2 linked regions of the Rhinolophus ferrumequinum genome follow. Each later gene encodes a partner of the first gene's protein in a complex. Links are inferred from orthologs where the notes say so. Each region holds a gene or a part of one and is shown in the gene's direction. Other genes may lie near its edges.

What was found. Proteins that work in one complex are often made in the same cells at the same time.
Region 2: MED13 (region 1) and MED26 share a complex: the UniProt entries of both Homo sapiens proteins name them as parts of the mediator complex. The link is inferred for Rhinolophus ferrumequinum from reciprocal best matches to the Homo sapiens genes MED13 and MED26.

Annotation. Positions count from the first base shown.
Region 1 is NC_046304.1:26,085,366-26,093,226, reverse strand, and holds the start of MED13 (mediator of RNA polymerase II transcription subunit 13), read left to right. Parts: upstream 1-4,760; 5' UTR 4,761-4,885; coding exon 4,886-4,951; intron 4,952-6,709; coding exon 6,710-6,944; intron 6,945-7,861. UniProt on the Homo sapiens protein: Component of the Mediator complex, a coactivator involved in the regulated transcription of nearly all RNA polymerase II-dependent genes.
Region 2 is NC_046301.1:50,104,541-50,111,655, reverse strand, and holds the start of MED26 (mediator of RNA polymerase II transcription subunit 26), read left to right. Parts: upstream 1-4,017; 5' UTR 4,018-4,274; coding exon 4,275-4,346; intron 4,347-7,115. UniProt on the Homo sapiens protein: Component of the Mediator complex, a coactivator involved in the regulated transcription of nearly all RNA polymerase II-dependent genes.

The DNA of each region.
Region 1 (7,861 bases):
ATGCAAGATACTTAGCACAATGTCTGACATATTTAGTGTTACATATTAGGTATTAAATCATAGCAATTACTTAAGCCAATATTTTCATTATGCTTGAGAAAACAGATCCAGAGGAGTCAAATGACCAGCTCAAGTAGAATAAAATTAGGGAGAGGGGAGATCTGATTTGCTTAAGGTTTACAAACCAAATTTCAAAGTGAGGAAATTGGGGGGAATTGACTTCAGATTTAATATTAAAATAAAATATTTATCGAGAAATAAACTTGAGGTTGAGAATAGTTTCTATACTACCAAGAAAAATGGCAAGTCAGGGCAACTTACAAGTCAATCCAGGATGTTTGATGCTTAGACTGAAATGTTTTCTTAGCTTTCTCAACTTGCTAATTTACTTTGTTTACTTCTATATTCAACAAAGTAGTGTCTGTGCATTCACTAAATAAAATGGTTTGTAACTCCTCAGCCTTTTTTATTTATTTTTTATTAAGTAGAACATCAAACCATTAACATGACCTTAAGAAAATCAATATTGTCCCCAGGCTCAAGACCCCTCACTCCACAGCTTAATTGGTCCTTAGCTTTCAGCTTTTGCCTCTAGACTTGTATTAGCCAATACAGTTGCCACTGGCCACATGTGGCTCGTGGTTACTTGAAATGTAGCTAGTCTGAACTGAAATGTTCTATAAGTGAAAATACACACAAATTTTAAAGGTTTGGTTAAAAAAAGAAAAGCAAACTGTCTGAATTTTTTATATTGACTACAGATGAGATGATAATGTTTCTGTTACATTGAGATAAATATATAGTTAAATTTAATTTTAGCCTATTTCTTTTTATGTTTTTAAAATGTAGCTACTGAAAAATCTTTACTTACTTGTTTTGCTCTCATTATATTTCTACTGGACTGTGCTACTCTAGACCCTGGGATTTTTCAGGATCAGGTGGGAAGCATTAGACCTAAGATCAGACATTGCCCGTTCCTGGACTTTCTCTGTCTCAGATGATGTAACTCTGCCACCCTTTTTGGAAGCTAGATGCCTCCACTATCCCATTCAGAATGGAGCCCTTAAAAGGCTGAAAGAGTTAAAGAACAATTTTAAATGTAGATCAGTGAACAAATCCATATTTCAAAGAATCGAAGACAATAGGTGATTATTGACCAGGCAACACCTAAGATTCACTTTAACATTCCCAATTGGCTCTTCTACTTTACTTGAATTATCTCTTTTAATTGTTACAGCTCTAACATTTAGGTGCTGTTACATACACATTTTACAAAGGAGTAAATGGAAGTTAGAGAGCTGGCAGGCGTGGCCTGGCGTTTTGATCCCAGTGCCATATCTAGCAAGATTATAAGCTCCTTGTATATCCTGTGCTTTGTCCATTCATGATCTGACACATACTAGATGGTCAGTAAGTGTATAGTAAAATGTATATGTAATACAACTTCAACCATGTAGAAAATACACACACACACACACACGCACACACACACAGGGCTGGCAGGAAATATATCAAAATGTTAAAAGATGTTTAATTATGAATGGTGATGTTATAGGCATTTTTAGAGGGTAATATGCATTTTTATTTTTTATCTTTACACTTTTCTGTATGTTCCGAATTTTTGACAATGTGCATATACTGTTTTTATTTCCATTACTCTTTAAATCACACAAAATATCATTTAAAGAGAATGTAGGTGGTTACTGACATAAGGTGGTTTTTCTATGTGCTGATACTGCTCTCTTCTCTTGTCCCCATGATGTTTCCATTCCCCTCACAGTTGGTCCCTCTCCTCCACTTTGCTTCTCCATTTTCTCTCTCAACCTCTCCTGCTTTTTCACCTCTCTCTCTCTTTCTCCCTCTCTCTCTATTCTGCTCCTTTCCATGACCCTCTCTCAGACTTATTCCTCTGGATCTTCCTCCCTTCTTGTCTCTTTTCTCCTGTCGCCCCGCTTTTTCTGAGAAGATTGACATTCACGTGAAAGGTCAGTCAAATGTTCCTGTGCACGTAGTAGGTTTCAGGCAGATTGTACCTGCCTCTGGAGTCCGGAGGGAGATGCTCAAATTGGGTGATGGGAGGGCAAGACTTCTAAAGAGGATGGCTATGTTTTGGATAAAATAAGAGGTGGGGTAGGACACTGAAGAGTGACTAAAGCAGTGGGAACAAAGGTCTGAGTATTCTCTCAGGAAAAGAGATGAGCAGAGGCTCTTACCTTATTGGGTCTGGGGATTGCTGCCTCCTGGTGCTGGCACTCAGTTAGAAAGGATGTGGACCTTAGTTGATTTGAGCTCCTGGATTGAATTAGTCCTGGTTGTATAATTGACTTTGATATGTGGCCTTTAGATCTGAAATGGGTTTAATAAGATTTAACTGCTTCAAAGGGCTTTATAAGAATTCATTTTATCCTTTAAATCTGATTTCAAATGCTGCCTACTTCAAGATGCCTTCTCTGACTTTGGTGCTCCTCCTCCAGCGCTCCTATTGTGCCATAGTTGATACATACCTTATTCAAGCAATTACCTCCATTGTATTTTATCTTTTTCTGTGGGAAATAGTTCCTTTATTGCCTCTCTTCAGGACTCTTGAGGGACAGGCAGTTATCTTATTCGTATTTGTATCCCAGGCCTAGCAACACACTCAGTTATGCACACAAGTGCTCAATAATGATTTTAAAAAGTATGTTAATGGCTAACATTTAGTAAGCACTGTGGCAAGCTATACCTACACTGTTTCTTTCATGAGACACTTTAGGAGAAAAGTATTTTTATTATGCCCATTTTACAATGAGAAAACTGAGAGAGTAATTAATTTGATCTAAAGTCAAATTTGATCCAAGATCAACTAGTAGTAAGTAGCACAACTTTTTCTACAGGCACTTGGCTTCAAGATCTGTGCTCTTAACCACCGTAGACAAATGAATGGATGGATGAGAAATGCGCTTCATTCTGTGGCTGAAGAAGTCACGTGGAAGAGTCCACCATTTATTTTATAGAGGCAGTTATGATTTAAAATTATGATAAGTCCTGAATCACTGATGTTTTTAACTTTTGAATCACCTTTACTTCTCCCTCCCTCCTTCCTCCCTTTCTCCCTCCCTCTCTCCTTTCCTCCCTCCCTTCCTTCCTTCCTTCCTCCCTCCTCCCCCTCACCCCCTCCCTTGCTTTTTCTTTCTTTCTTTCCTCCCTAAAACTCTCAGGAAAAAATGTTTGAACTCCTACATTGAAATGCAATTCAGGCAAGAACTGAGTGTTTTATGGGGACGGAAACTAACATCTTACTTGGTTCTACTTCTTGCCATTCATTCACTTGCAAATTTACGAATATAAGGCACCTACTGTGTGCTAGGAACCTTTTGTAGACACTAGAGATAGAGCGGTAAACAAAACAAAGTCCCAGTTCTCACGGAGATTACACTCTAGTGGGCACTTTAAATAACGCTGGTTCACTTAGTCCTCACAATAACCACATGAGGTAACGATGACAACAATAATAGATAACTCTTAACAATGCTTATCTGTGCCGGGTACTGGGCTACCATGCTGTATTTGTCTTAACTCAATTATCACAACAATCCTGTGAGGTAGGGGGTATGTATGCTTTCCTCATTTCACAGATGAGGAAAGTGAGACATAAATCGGTAAGTGACTCCTTGAAGGTTCGAACCCAAGCGGTGTGTCTCTAACACCAGGCTATATTGTTTCGTTTGTTTCTTTCTTAATATCACAACTTTCAAGTGGCTGAGTCTTATCTCAGATCGTCTGACTCCCATGCCCAGGAGTTTGCGCTGCACCCCCGCGGCCTCGTGAAATACATGAGAAAACCTTGGAATTTTTTCAACACTTTCTCTTCCAAAGAATTCAAACTGCTTTCCACGTAATTCTCCGAGTTGTGATGTAAAGCTCTTGCACTGTCAATTCCGAGCAAGTAGAAAGACAGGGCCAGGGCCCTGGGTCATCCTACACTGGCCGGGGTACCCAGCAGATGGCGCTATCTTAGTAGCCACCACCTGGCTGCCCAGTCCCCCGGGCTCACCGCCTTCGCCGAAAGCTTCCCGGCCCTCCCTCGCTCCCTTCTCTCTCCTCCTCCCCACGGAGCCCGGGCCCACGTGACCTCAAGGCGGCCAATGGGCGAGCAGAGAGGGCGAGCTGGTCCCTGTGGCCGCCATTAAAGCGAAGGGAAAACCCGTGAATTCGGATTAAAGGGGGAAAAACACAGCCCGCTGGGCCCACAAAATGGGGGAGACTACGGCGTCCGGGCTGTGAGGCCGTAGGAGAGGAGACGTTAGGCCGGCTTGGCCCAGGGACTACACGAAGACACAGCCAGAGAATGGTTTGAGCCCGCAGACACCACCACCACCTCCGCCACTGAGGAGACTCTGGGCTTAAGGACATCGCCGCTGCCGGGCCGGGGGCCTGGGCTTCTCTCCGGTTCTCGCCCTTCCCGCCCCTCTGCGGGCGCCTCCCCGCCCGGGAGAACCCTCCAGGGCTTGGGCTCTGCCCTCTCGGACTCGACTTTAATTATTTATTGTGTAATTTATTATTTTTCTTGTGGAAGGGGCACACATCCCCTCTGTCCCCCAGACAGGGACGAGCGTCCGCGGGCTCCGCGGCGGCCGCAGTCCGGCCAGCGGGGTGAGCGCGGCACGGACCGCCCGCCTCCGGCCCTCGGCTCCGGGCGGCTGGGTGCCGGCCGGGCGGCGGGGGCTGCTCGCGGCGGCGGGGGGGTGGGTGGGGAGGGCGGGCGGCCCGGCGGCCTCCTCTTCCACGGTCCCCCCAACCAGCACCCCCCCGCCCTCCCCGGTGTCTGTGTTTCTCTCTCTGGTCGGAGGCGGCGGTAATGGCGGATGGTGGGTTGTGGCGCCGGCGGCGGCTGCTGTGAGGGACGATGAGTTCCTCCTTCGTGCCGAACGGGGCCAGCCTGGAAGATTGTCACTGTAACCTCTTCTGCCTGGTGAGTGCCGGGGCCGCGGGCGGGGACCGCGGCGAGCAGGGCGGTGGGGGAGGGGGCCGCGAGGTGCGCCCTTGGGCCGTGGGGGAGGGGTCCAGGTCTGATCCAGATGCTGGAGTCCCCGGGCTAGGCCCAGCCGGAGCCGGCGCTGCGACTGAGCTCCGCACCCGCCTCGGGAGACGCGTTCGTTCACCCGCGGTCCTGGGCTCTGTTTTAGGAGAGTTGGCTTTTTTTCTTGTTTCTGACTTTTTCCCCCTCACCACCGTGGTCTTGTTTTCAGCTTGGGCTCCTTATCTGGCAGGACACTAACATTTCCCTCTGTTTAACTGTTGCTTTTCTCATTGACCATGTATCCCTTCACACTTTACATTATTGCCCATTCTCCCACTGTTTTTATGCCTCACTCTGGTGATTTGTTTCCCCCAATAAACAGGACCCCGGAACTTAGGTACTAAAAATCTCTTTTCGTTTTGCATTTTTTGTATGAGTCGAACTAACAGAATGTTAGTTTCTTCCTTGGGCGACTACAGACCTCTGTAAAAACCAGTAGATGCCATTTCATACGTTTTCTCTTTAAACTTTGAAAACAGTTTGCCATTTTGACAATTTCTAGCCATCTTGCTTTTATTAAAACATTATGTTTGTGTGAGAGTTGAACGTACTAAGAGAGAAGGTTCTATGGTTTTGCAGTAAATATTTTTGTCTTTTGCTTGCATGTTTAGAATGTTTTGGGCAGCCTGCTCCAGGTTTTATTGAAAAGTGTGGGGAAGGTGACAATTGTGTAGGTTGGCCCATGTCTGGGAGCGTCCAACCGTTTAAGACTTTAAAAACAGTATCAGTTGTTGCAAATACTTAGCCCTCAATTGGACGGTAGCTTAGCTTCAGCAATGATTTAAAGTTTCAGTGACTTCCTTTTTTCATCTTCCCTGCGCTTTGAGAAATATTAAGAGTATACGATAAGGGAATTGAGTGGGCGGAGCAGAACTAGTTGGCAAGTGTAAACTGCCAGTCATGTATCAGCAGTTTCATTTCTGGCACCTATACTTTGCACCTTTAAGTTAAAGAATTACTGAATTCCCTCTTGAATTTCTTTCAGGATGTTAAGTTAAGATCTTTAATGTCCTTTCCCCTATAAAATGTTTTCTTGTCCAGTGTCCATTAATCAGCATCTCTTCAGATGTAATAAGACAGCAGGTTTTACATTTCTATCTTCTCCAACTCAGTCTATTTTTGGTGCTTTTAGGATCAGGTTCTTTGAAGATAGACTAGCACATATCTGACAGTTCTTTGTGAGCAGCTATTTGACTTTTCCTAAAAGGGATATGTGAAGAAGTAACAAGAATTTTTTGTTATAGTTCAGACTTCTATAAACATGGAATGATGATGAGTCTTTAAAAATTAATTTTCTGTTACAAGTTTGACATTAAGGACAAATGTGACCAGTTAGAACAGAACTTAGGATAGATAGGAAATGTTTACTCAGTGTGCAGTATTAAAGTACATATTTATATTTAACTTTATTACGTTTCTTTTATTTCTCCTTGGAACACCCATTAATTGACTTGCTATTCAGTGATCTGTCATTGTTAATTTTTTCACTGTTTTTGTTCAGAATTATTAAGCATTTTTTTGATCAACCTGCTTTCAATATTTTAAGTATATCTTGAAAAATTTTAATCCTTGTGAAATAAGGGACTTTTAATAGTGAGTACTTTTGACTTTGCAGTAATAAAAAAAAAAATCATGCTTTCTTTTCTTCAGGCTGACTTGACGGGAATTAAATGGAAAAGATATGTATGGCAAGGCCCAACTTCTGCCCCTATTCTGTTTCCGGTGACAGAGGAAGACCCCATTTTGAGCAGTTTTAGTCGCTGCCTTAAGGCAGATGTACTTGGTGTTTGGCGGAGAGATCAAAGACCTGGAAGAAGAGAATTATGGATATTTTGGTGGGGTGAAGACCCTAATTTTGCTGACCTTATTCACCATGACTTATCAGGTGAAAGCAACTTAACCATTTCTAGCTAATGAATAGCAATGTATCCTTTACTCCAAAATTGTCTTTATTAAGATTTTTTGGTGGAACACTTAGGTATGAAGCCAGATACAAATTCAGCTTCATAGTCTATTTCATTGTGGTTATTTTATTTTACTTAAATTATCCATATTATGGCAGGCTTTTTCAATCTTCAGTAACTTGATTCTTTCATCACCTAGCTTCCTCATGAATTTGTCATAGACAGGCCTAAGGAAGACATTATATTAACCTAAGAAAAATGGAATCAGGGAGCATAAAGTTCCTAACAAAGTTGTAATACTTTTGAAGCCAGTTTAACTAAACTTGGAGTCAGTTTTGCCACTGCTCTCCTGTATATACGAATATGAATATGCTGGCAGTTGTAGCAGTATCTAGAAATGTGTTGTAACTTTCCCACGTTTTTTCAAAGCATATGGTTATTTTGTTATTGTTATTTGTGGTTATTTTATTATCATGTGAAGACATGTTAATTTTGTTATTCTTGGGAAGTGATTCTTTTATTTTAGATACCTTCCAACGAAGACTATCATTAATATGAGAAGAGCGCCAACTTATTTAGCTTTTGTAGGACATTAGGGGGCATACTCGAAAAAGTTATACAGAAATAATTTTATTATGAGCAAATCAATAAGATTTCTTCCATCTTATTTTTTTGATTTAGGACCAAATGTTATTTTAGTATATGTGCTGCCGAAGTGAGCACCCAAATGTTATTTTAGAAAGAGAAACTGTAGCTCTTCATGAAATTACTGAAGCTTGTGTTTATTTTGGTGTAAGAGTCAGTGAGTCTTTGAGGATAAGAATATAAGTGATAAGTTGTTTCCTGCAAGATACCAAAGACTTCAGCAAGATGTTTGATAATTATTCATAACAGGTAA
Region 2 (7,115 bases), on another chromosome or scaffold:
CTGGATGAGATGACCAGAAGGCACCACATGTTCATTCTAAACAGTGTGGAACTGCAGGCAAAAGTATCAGAAGAATCATCACCTGTTCTACCTGTCAGAGACAACTACTGTAGATATTTTGGTTTCTTTCCTTCCAGTAGTTTTTCTATGCATCATGTACATACGTATACATATATTAATAAAAGTAAGATCATAATGTATATATATGTTGCATTTTATCACTTAGTATTAAGTTGAGAGCATTTTTCCATCTTTTCAGTACTGGTTTTTAACGGCTTTATTATCTATCTAGCTATCTGTTATCTAGCTATATATCTTTATTTTCAAAGTGTAATGTACAGTAATATACAGCTTGGTAAATTTCTTCATGTGCATCCACCCATAAGACCGCTACCCCCATCGGAGTTATCGATTCCTTTGGTCTCTCCCAGTCCATAACCTTCCCATTTTCATGAATTGACCCCCCCGTTTATTCATGTACTCCCCTATTACTGGATACTTCAGTTGCTTCCACTCTTTTGCTCTTATAAATGATGCTGTGACCTCCCTTGTACATACGTACACATTTATCTGCATCTGATTGGTGGTTCCTTTGGAAAAATTTCTAGAAGTTGTGAGACATCGATCGGGTCAGAGGGTATGAGTGTATTGGAACACTCTCAGTTGAAGTGCTGCCTTCTTGTCAAACATTTTTCCTGGTCCACCTATCCAGAAGGGCTTTCCCCACCTTAGGGCTCCTGCTGCACTTCGCTCGGACAGTACAATTAAAATATTGGATTAATGGGACCCCGACTTGATTCCAGTGCTTGGCTTCAAAACTAGATCCTCAGGAGCAGGCTTTATTCATGTTTATATCCCACTTGAAAGCACGATAAAAATTGTCCCGTCTATCTTTGAAAGTCTTCCTAAAAGCAGTGACATTTCAGGGGCTTTTCAAAACTGTTGAAATTGGTTTCACTTCTAAAGTAAACAGGACTTGCTGCAAAGCCAAGCAGAACCCTGAGACCTCTCTCTAGGTACTTCTGAGATCAGTGATATGGCTGAATGAGTTAATAGGAGAAAGTGGTTTTTAAAAATTTCCACCAGACTGTTAAACTCAGAGCAAACATATGGGTCAAAGTGAGGTGGTGGATTTGCTCATGTTTGTTTTTCTTATCAATCACTGGAACGCTTACATACATCATTGGGATAAGTCCAGTAATTTCCTCTCCTTTAAATTGCCCACCTCCCAGGGGTTTGTGACGCAAGGGTACAGCGGCTTTTCCCTTTAGCAGTGAGTCTGCCTAGGGCGTTGCTGCTGTTGCTCCTTGCTGTCACATGGTGTCGCTGTTGAACACTTGTCTTGTGCAGTCGTGGGAGCCCTCCAGCTCTTGACTTCCTTCTGGGATGCCCTTACTAGTCTGCCAACGGAGGAGGACTCCACTCTCTCACTGCCAAGACTGCCTGGGCATGCTGTGCACTCAGGTCCTGAAACTACATTCCCTCCCACTTCCATGGCAAGAGCAAGCCATGGACTCAGAGCCACTTCCTCGCCCTAACCTTTGGGGGCTGCCTCACTAAGAGATGAGGCCGCTTTCCCAAGGACATTTCAAGCACAAAAGATCTTGTCCTCTCAGATTGGTGGAACCAATGGTCTCTGTATCTAAGTTAAGGGACATATCATGGGGAAGAACGATTACAGCACGAGGATTTACCTTGAGCCCCATCTTTGCATAACATTTCAAGTATCTTGAAAGCAGAAAGTCAGCTAGTGAAATTCAGTATCTACCATGGACGTAAGAGAAGCTGCTAACTTTCAAAACTGTTCCGTGGCGATCTTTCTTTACCATGACAAGCATACTTTGTATATACAGTAAGTCCTCAATACTGTCAATAAGTTCTGTACTTTAAGTAAAATGACATATGAGACCAGTTTTAACATAGGCTAATTGATAAAAAACGAGTTAAGTTCCTATGGCATCTCACCATTATAACGAAAACGTCGTTTTGTTACATTATTCGAGGACATGCTGTATGCTAAATATGGAATGAAACTCTGTGTCCATGTGCATCCTCATGTTGTAGAAAGTATTTAATAAAATACTTTTTCCATTATTTATTGAGCCCCCACTGTGTGCCAGGTCTGTGGAACTGAACCGCATAAGTATGTTTGGGTATGTGTATTCAACTGCTGTGTATCTGATGAGACATTCACTTACTTCACAAATATTTAATAAGCACTTTTCTATCTACTGGGGACACGGAGTTGAGTCGGTGCCCCTGTGGAGCTCATAGTCATCTTAATGTTTCTTCTTAGTTTAAAAAAAGCAGGTAAGTTGAGTGCTTTCCAGAGTTTTCTTAAGTAACCTGACCCATGCAAAACAAATGGCTTATTCCCTGATTTAAAAAAATAAGACATTGTACATCTAGTTAGAAATTTAAGAGAGAGGCAGGACCGGATTATACTTGGGGGAGAAGCTTGTTTATTTTGCTTATCTGAAGTGAGAAAGAATATCTCTAAGTGGGCAGATTTCCAACTTGGAGCATGTACACAAAGCACCTCATGCTAAAGAGAGTAACTGAACGGAGTATTTTGCCTGTGTTTATTTTCTTCTACAAGTGTGATGTGAAACTTTTCACATGTGCAGAAGCAAGCAGCCACAACCACGGAAACAGCCGTTTTTGCAAATAAAAATGCTTCGCAGAAGCATGACAAATGCAAGACTAACAGGTGTAGGACAGATCCAAGGCGCACATGCGGTTCTCATCAGCTGCCTCTCTTCTGTTTTAAATCTAGGTCTTCCTGTAACAAGGAAAAGTTATTTCTCCTGAGGCTGCCACTAATAATCCACTCAGCCTGCCTTTCCACCCCTTGTCTCATAACAGTATTTCTAATAGAGCTTCCAGAGAGAGAAGACAGCAATGAAAGAAGGCAGTAAGGGGGTGGGGCAGAGGGTGGGGGGTACCCTTAGAATTGACATTAGAAGTTCTGGGTTTAACCTGTAACTCTGGGTGACTTTGGGCTGCAGTTTTCTCCTTTGAGAAATGTTTGGTTCAGAGAATGAGGGTTTCAATTTTCCAGCCTCTCCACGCCAAGCAAGGTAGAAGGGTCTTTTAAACCAGTGGATGTCAATAGGGGGCGATTCTGCCTGCCAGGGGACATCAGACAATGACTGGAGACATTTTTGGTTGTCGCCACTGGAGGAGAAGGTGCTACTGGCATTTAGTGGGTAGACGCCAGGGATGCTACTCAACATCCTACCAGGACGGCCCTACAACAGTGATCCGGCCCCAAATGTCACCGGGGCACAGGTCTGCAACCATGGGGTCGGCTCACGGGGCTGGTTTGGGGGCATTCCCAGCTGGGATGGCGGCTCTTCGGAGAGGTGCTTCTCCGTCTCATGTTTTCGGGACCCGGGCCAGCGAGGCGCTGCAGACCCCCGCCCTCTGGAGTGAACCAGAGCTGGAACGTCCCTTGACATCCCTCGGTCAGACCCAGACGCGCGCAGCATCACAACGTGGACATCCATCTCCCTCGCCCCCAGGAACGCAGATCGAGGGGGTGGGAAGGATCCCCCCCAGGCTTGGAAAACTTGGCAGCTTCTCCCGCCCGCGACCCCTATCACCTCTGTCAGTGCAAGGAAGGCTTTTCTTCCCGAAGAGGGGTGCTGCCGCCGCCCTCCCCGCCCTGCACAGCTGAGGCGGCACCCGCAGCGCCGAGTTCAAGGACTCCGCGCGCATCTCGCGTTTGGGTCGGGAACCTCAGCATCCCCAGCCCGGGTGGGGGCGGGGCTCCAGGCGGCGACCGTTGCCCCGCCCAACCGTTTCCCAACGGCTCCCCGGGCCGAGCAGGGGACTGGGACTGCGCGGTGGGCGAGTGCGCCTGTGCGCGCATGCGTAAAAGGCGAGGGGTGTGACCCAGGCGTGGCCCCGCCCAAGCCCGGCGTCTCCGCCCGCCCCATCTCCCAACCTCCTCAGCGTGGCGCCGACGCTGCGTGCGGCGCGGGTTACCCAGAGTGCTCCGCGCAGGAGCAGCTCACTGGAGTTTGGTTCTCGAGGCGGCGGCAGCAGCGGCGGCGGCTCCGGCGGCTCCTCCTCCTGCGGTGGCGGCGGCGCCCCGGGCCCGAGCCCCGGCTCCGGCTCCCCTCTCCGCCACCCCGCGCGCCCCCTCCTCCCCCGGCGCCGCGGGGAACATGAAGCTCCGTTCCCGGAGGCCGGCGAGTGAGTGACCCCCGTCCCCCGCCTCAGCCCGCCCGCCCGCTGGCCCGGCCGCTCCCCCCCGCCTCGCCCAGGCAATGACAGCGGCTCCGGCGTCTCCGCAGCAGATCAGGGACCGGCTGCTGCAGGCCATCGACCCCCAGAGCAACGTAAGTACCCGCCGCGCGGGCCAGGACCGAGGCCTCGTGGGCCCGGGACCCTCCTCCTCCCCAGTGCCCCTCACCCTCGGGGTTCCCGGGTACCCGCCCGAGGCCCACCTTCCCCCGAGGGCCGCTGCCATCCCGGCCTCTCGTCCCCCGGGCCTGGGCCCGGGGCAGGTCGGGCAGCCCGGCGGCGCTCGGTACGTGAGGCCGAGGCTTACGTGCGGCCTGGGTGGAGGATACAGACGGGAGCTGAGGCCAGAGCTGTTCCTTCCCTCCTGCTTGAGTTCTACGACCCTTGTTGCTCCTGTCGGAGCTTACCTGCCTCCCCTTCTCCGGAGACCAGAGACCCCCCGGGAAGCCCTCTCGACTTGGGGGAGGGGAGGGAGAAAGACTGTGGAGCAACTGGTGGCTGGAGTATGACTCCGGGAGCCCGTGCCTCCAGTATCTCGGCCTTCTGGGTGATCAGGGAAGTCCTCCTTCCTTCTTCTCCCTGCTGGAAGCACCTTGGCTTCGGAGGGAAACCCCCGGCCTGCTTTGCCCCTAGCCGGGTGCCCAGGGCGCGTGGAGAGGTCTCTTCGGTTCTGCGAATGGACATGTCTTTGCTGGATCCCTCTTCGAGTCGCTGCCAACGGAAGATGATCTTGGGGAGGAGGGTGGGATCCTTCATGCTGCTTTTCTGGGCCTAACTGCCCATTGCGTCTCTGACCAAGCCAGAGCCCCACTTTTGGGTAGGGAATTAAAGGTGATTGTTTTCTCTCCGGTTCACCCAAGAACCCTATTTCGGCTGTCCCTTCCCCCTATCTGGAGGTTCTAGCCAGGTGGTTTTTGACCTAGATGACAGGGTTAACCCCAGGGTGTCGCTTTGTCAGATGACCCTCCATGTTTGCAGAGGGATCTCCCCTGTCCCCCCTCCGTGTGTGTAGGGGAAGCCTCATTGTGTTCTCATATATTCTCCAAGGGGTTGTTGATGATAGGGGTCATTTTCCCCTGTGGCAGGAGCAGGTTAAGCAGGAGGAGGATGACATCCAGGTATGAAGTGAGCCCTGCATTTGCTGGGAGACCAGGAAGTGGCCACTGAAATCACTTTAACATACTGCAGATGGAAGAAAAAATTGTCTTGGGTAATTTTGGAGGGGTTATGATAATTGTAAGGCTCTGATTTCTCTATCATAAGTAATTCTCTTATTCCTGGTCTTCGGGCCCCATTAAGATTGGCTTGGTGGAAATTGCCTTTAACAAGTGTATACATTTTTGTTAGGACTTTGGGGGTGGAGTAGGCACAAGCTATATAAAACCTCCCAGAATTTTTGCAGTAACTGGTGCCGCTGCAATTCCCAACACTGAAATATTAGAGGATAAAGCAAGTGACATGAAAAATACAGCTTTGGTAACTTTTGCATCTTTTGTCGAGTCAGAGTGCAATTCTTGAATTCCATGTGCTTGCTTGCCTTCTGGAGTATCTGAGAGTGGCTGACCTATTAGCACTGATTCTTAATGCCACCTAGGAGAGCTTTGGGATCAGAAGGCGCTTTGACATCAGAAGGTGCTTTGACAGGTGGTCACGATGTTACAGATTAGGTGGGCAGTGACCTCAGGGATTCTAGTGTTGTGCAAGGCTCTAATCTAGAGGGTTCCTAGAAGTAGGAGGAGGGAACAAATCTCAGCTTCGTGTATCCTGGTGTGTGCAGAAACATTACTCTCATCTGAGCCCATGGCTGTATTACGTAGCATGGAATTCATGTTTCATGTGGCTTACTTTGGGCAACTCTAGCGATAGGTGTGCTAGAGCCCTACTAAAATAAGTTGATAGAATTGGGAAATTGTCTCTTTGAATATGAGCGATGAAGAAAGTGCCTCCTTTAAATGCTGCCATTGTTAGTGTCTGTGAGCATTGTTACTAGTCATTTGACAGGAGTGCGGCTTGGTTCAAACCGTGTATAGAAACTTAGAGATGTGGCAGAATAGTTTGCTGATGGAGAAGGTGCAACCACAGGGCTGCAGTTTCTTACGATTGACCTGGGCCCAGGTGAGAGTGAGGGCGCTCCAACAGGGCATTGCTGCCGCACGGGCGCTCTTCTCTGCTTTGCCCAATTATGAACACTTCTGGATAGTTGGTTGACACATATTTAAGATGCTCATGAAAAAAATGGGGACAGAGTTGAAGAGCCAACACTAAAATTAAACCTCTTCTGAGAGAAAATACAGAGAATTGTGTCATGTAATGCTTACCTTTATGGACATGCAATTATGGTTAACAAACAGCTTTTGCTTGAAAAATTAATGTCAAGCCGCTGACCTAATATCCACAAGTATCTGAAAAGTTAGGGAAGTAACAAAGTAACATTTACTGAGCATCTCCTTGACAAAAGAGTTCTTAAGAGGAAAGTTGTTTTTTTGCTCTAAATTCTAGCCTCTGGAGTATTTGAATTTCTGTAGCAGCAGGTTCTGAGTTAATTTCTGCCAACTCAGTACTGAAGTAAATCCTTTACACTCCTTTTCAGAAAGCAACTAACAGTTTTTCAGAATAATTGAAATCTTACTCTTTCATGGTATGTCAGCCCAGAGTGTTGAAAATCTGAAGTGCAGTGTGCGCATTTGTTCCAGCTTGATCTTGCTTGGTTGTGGATAAAGTTGAGGGCAGTGTCTTCTCCTGCCCAGAAATCAGTCACACCACTTCAGCACAGTCTTCTCAGCAGGTGATTAGCTTCCTGTTTCTATGGGACACTCACTGATTCACGCAAGTTCGGGCTTTGTCTTCCTGCCCAGAATCAGTCT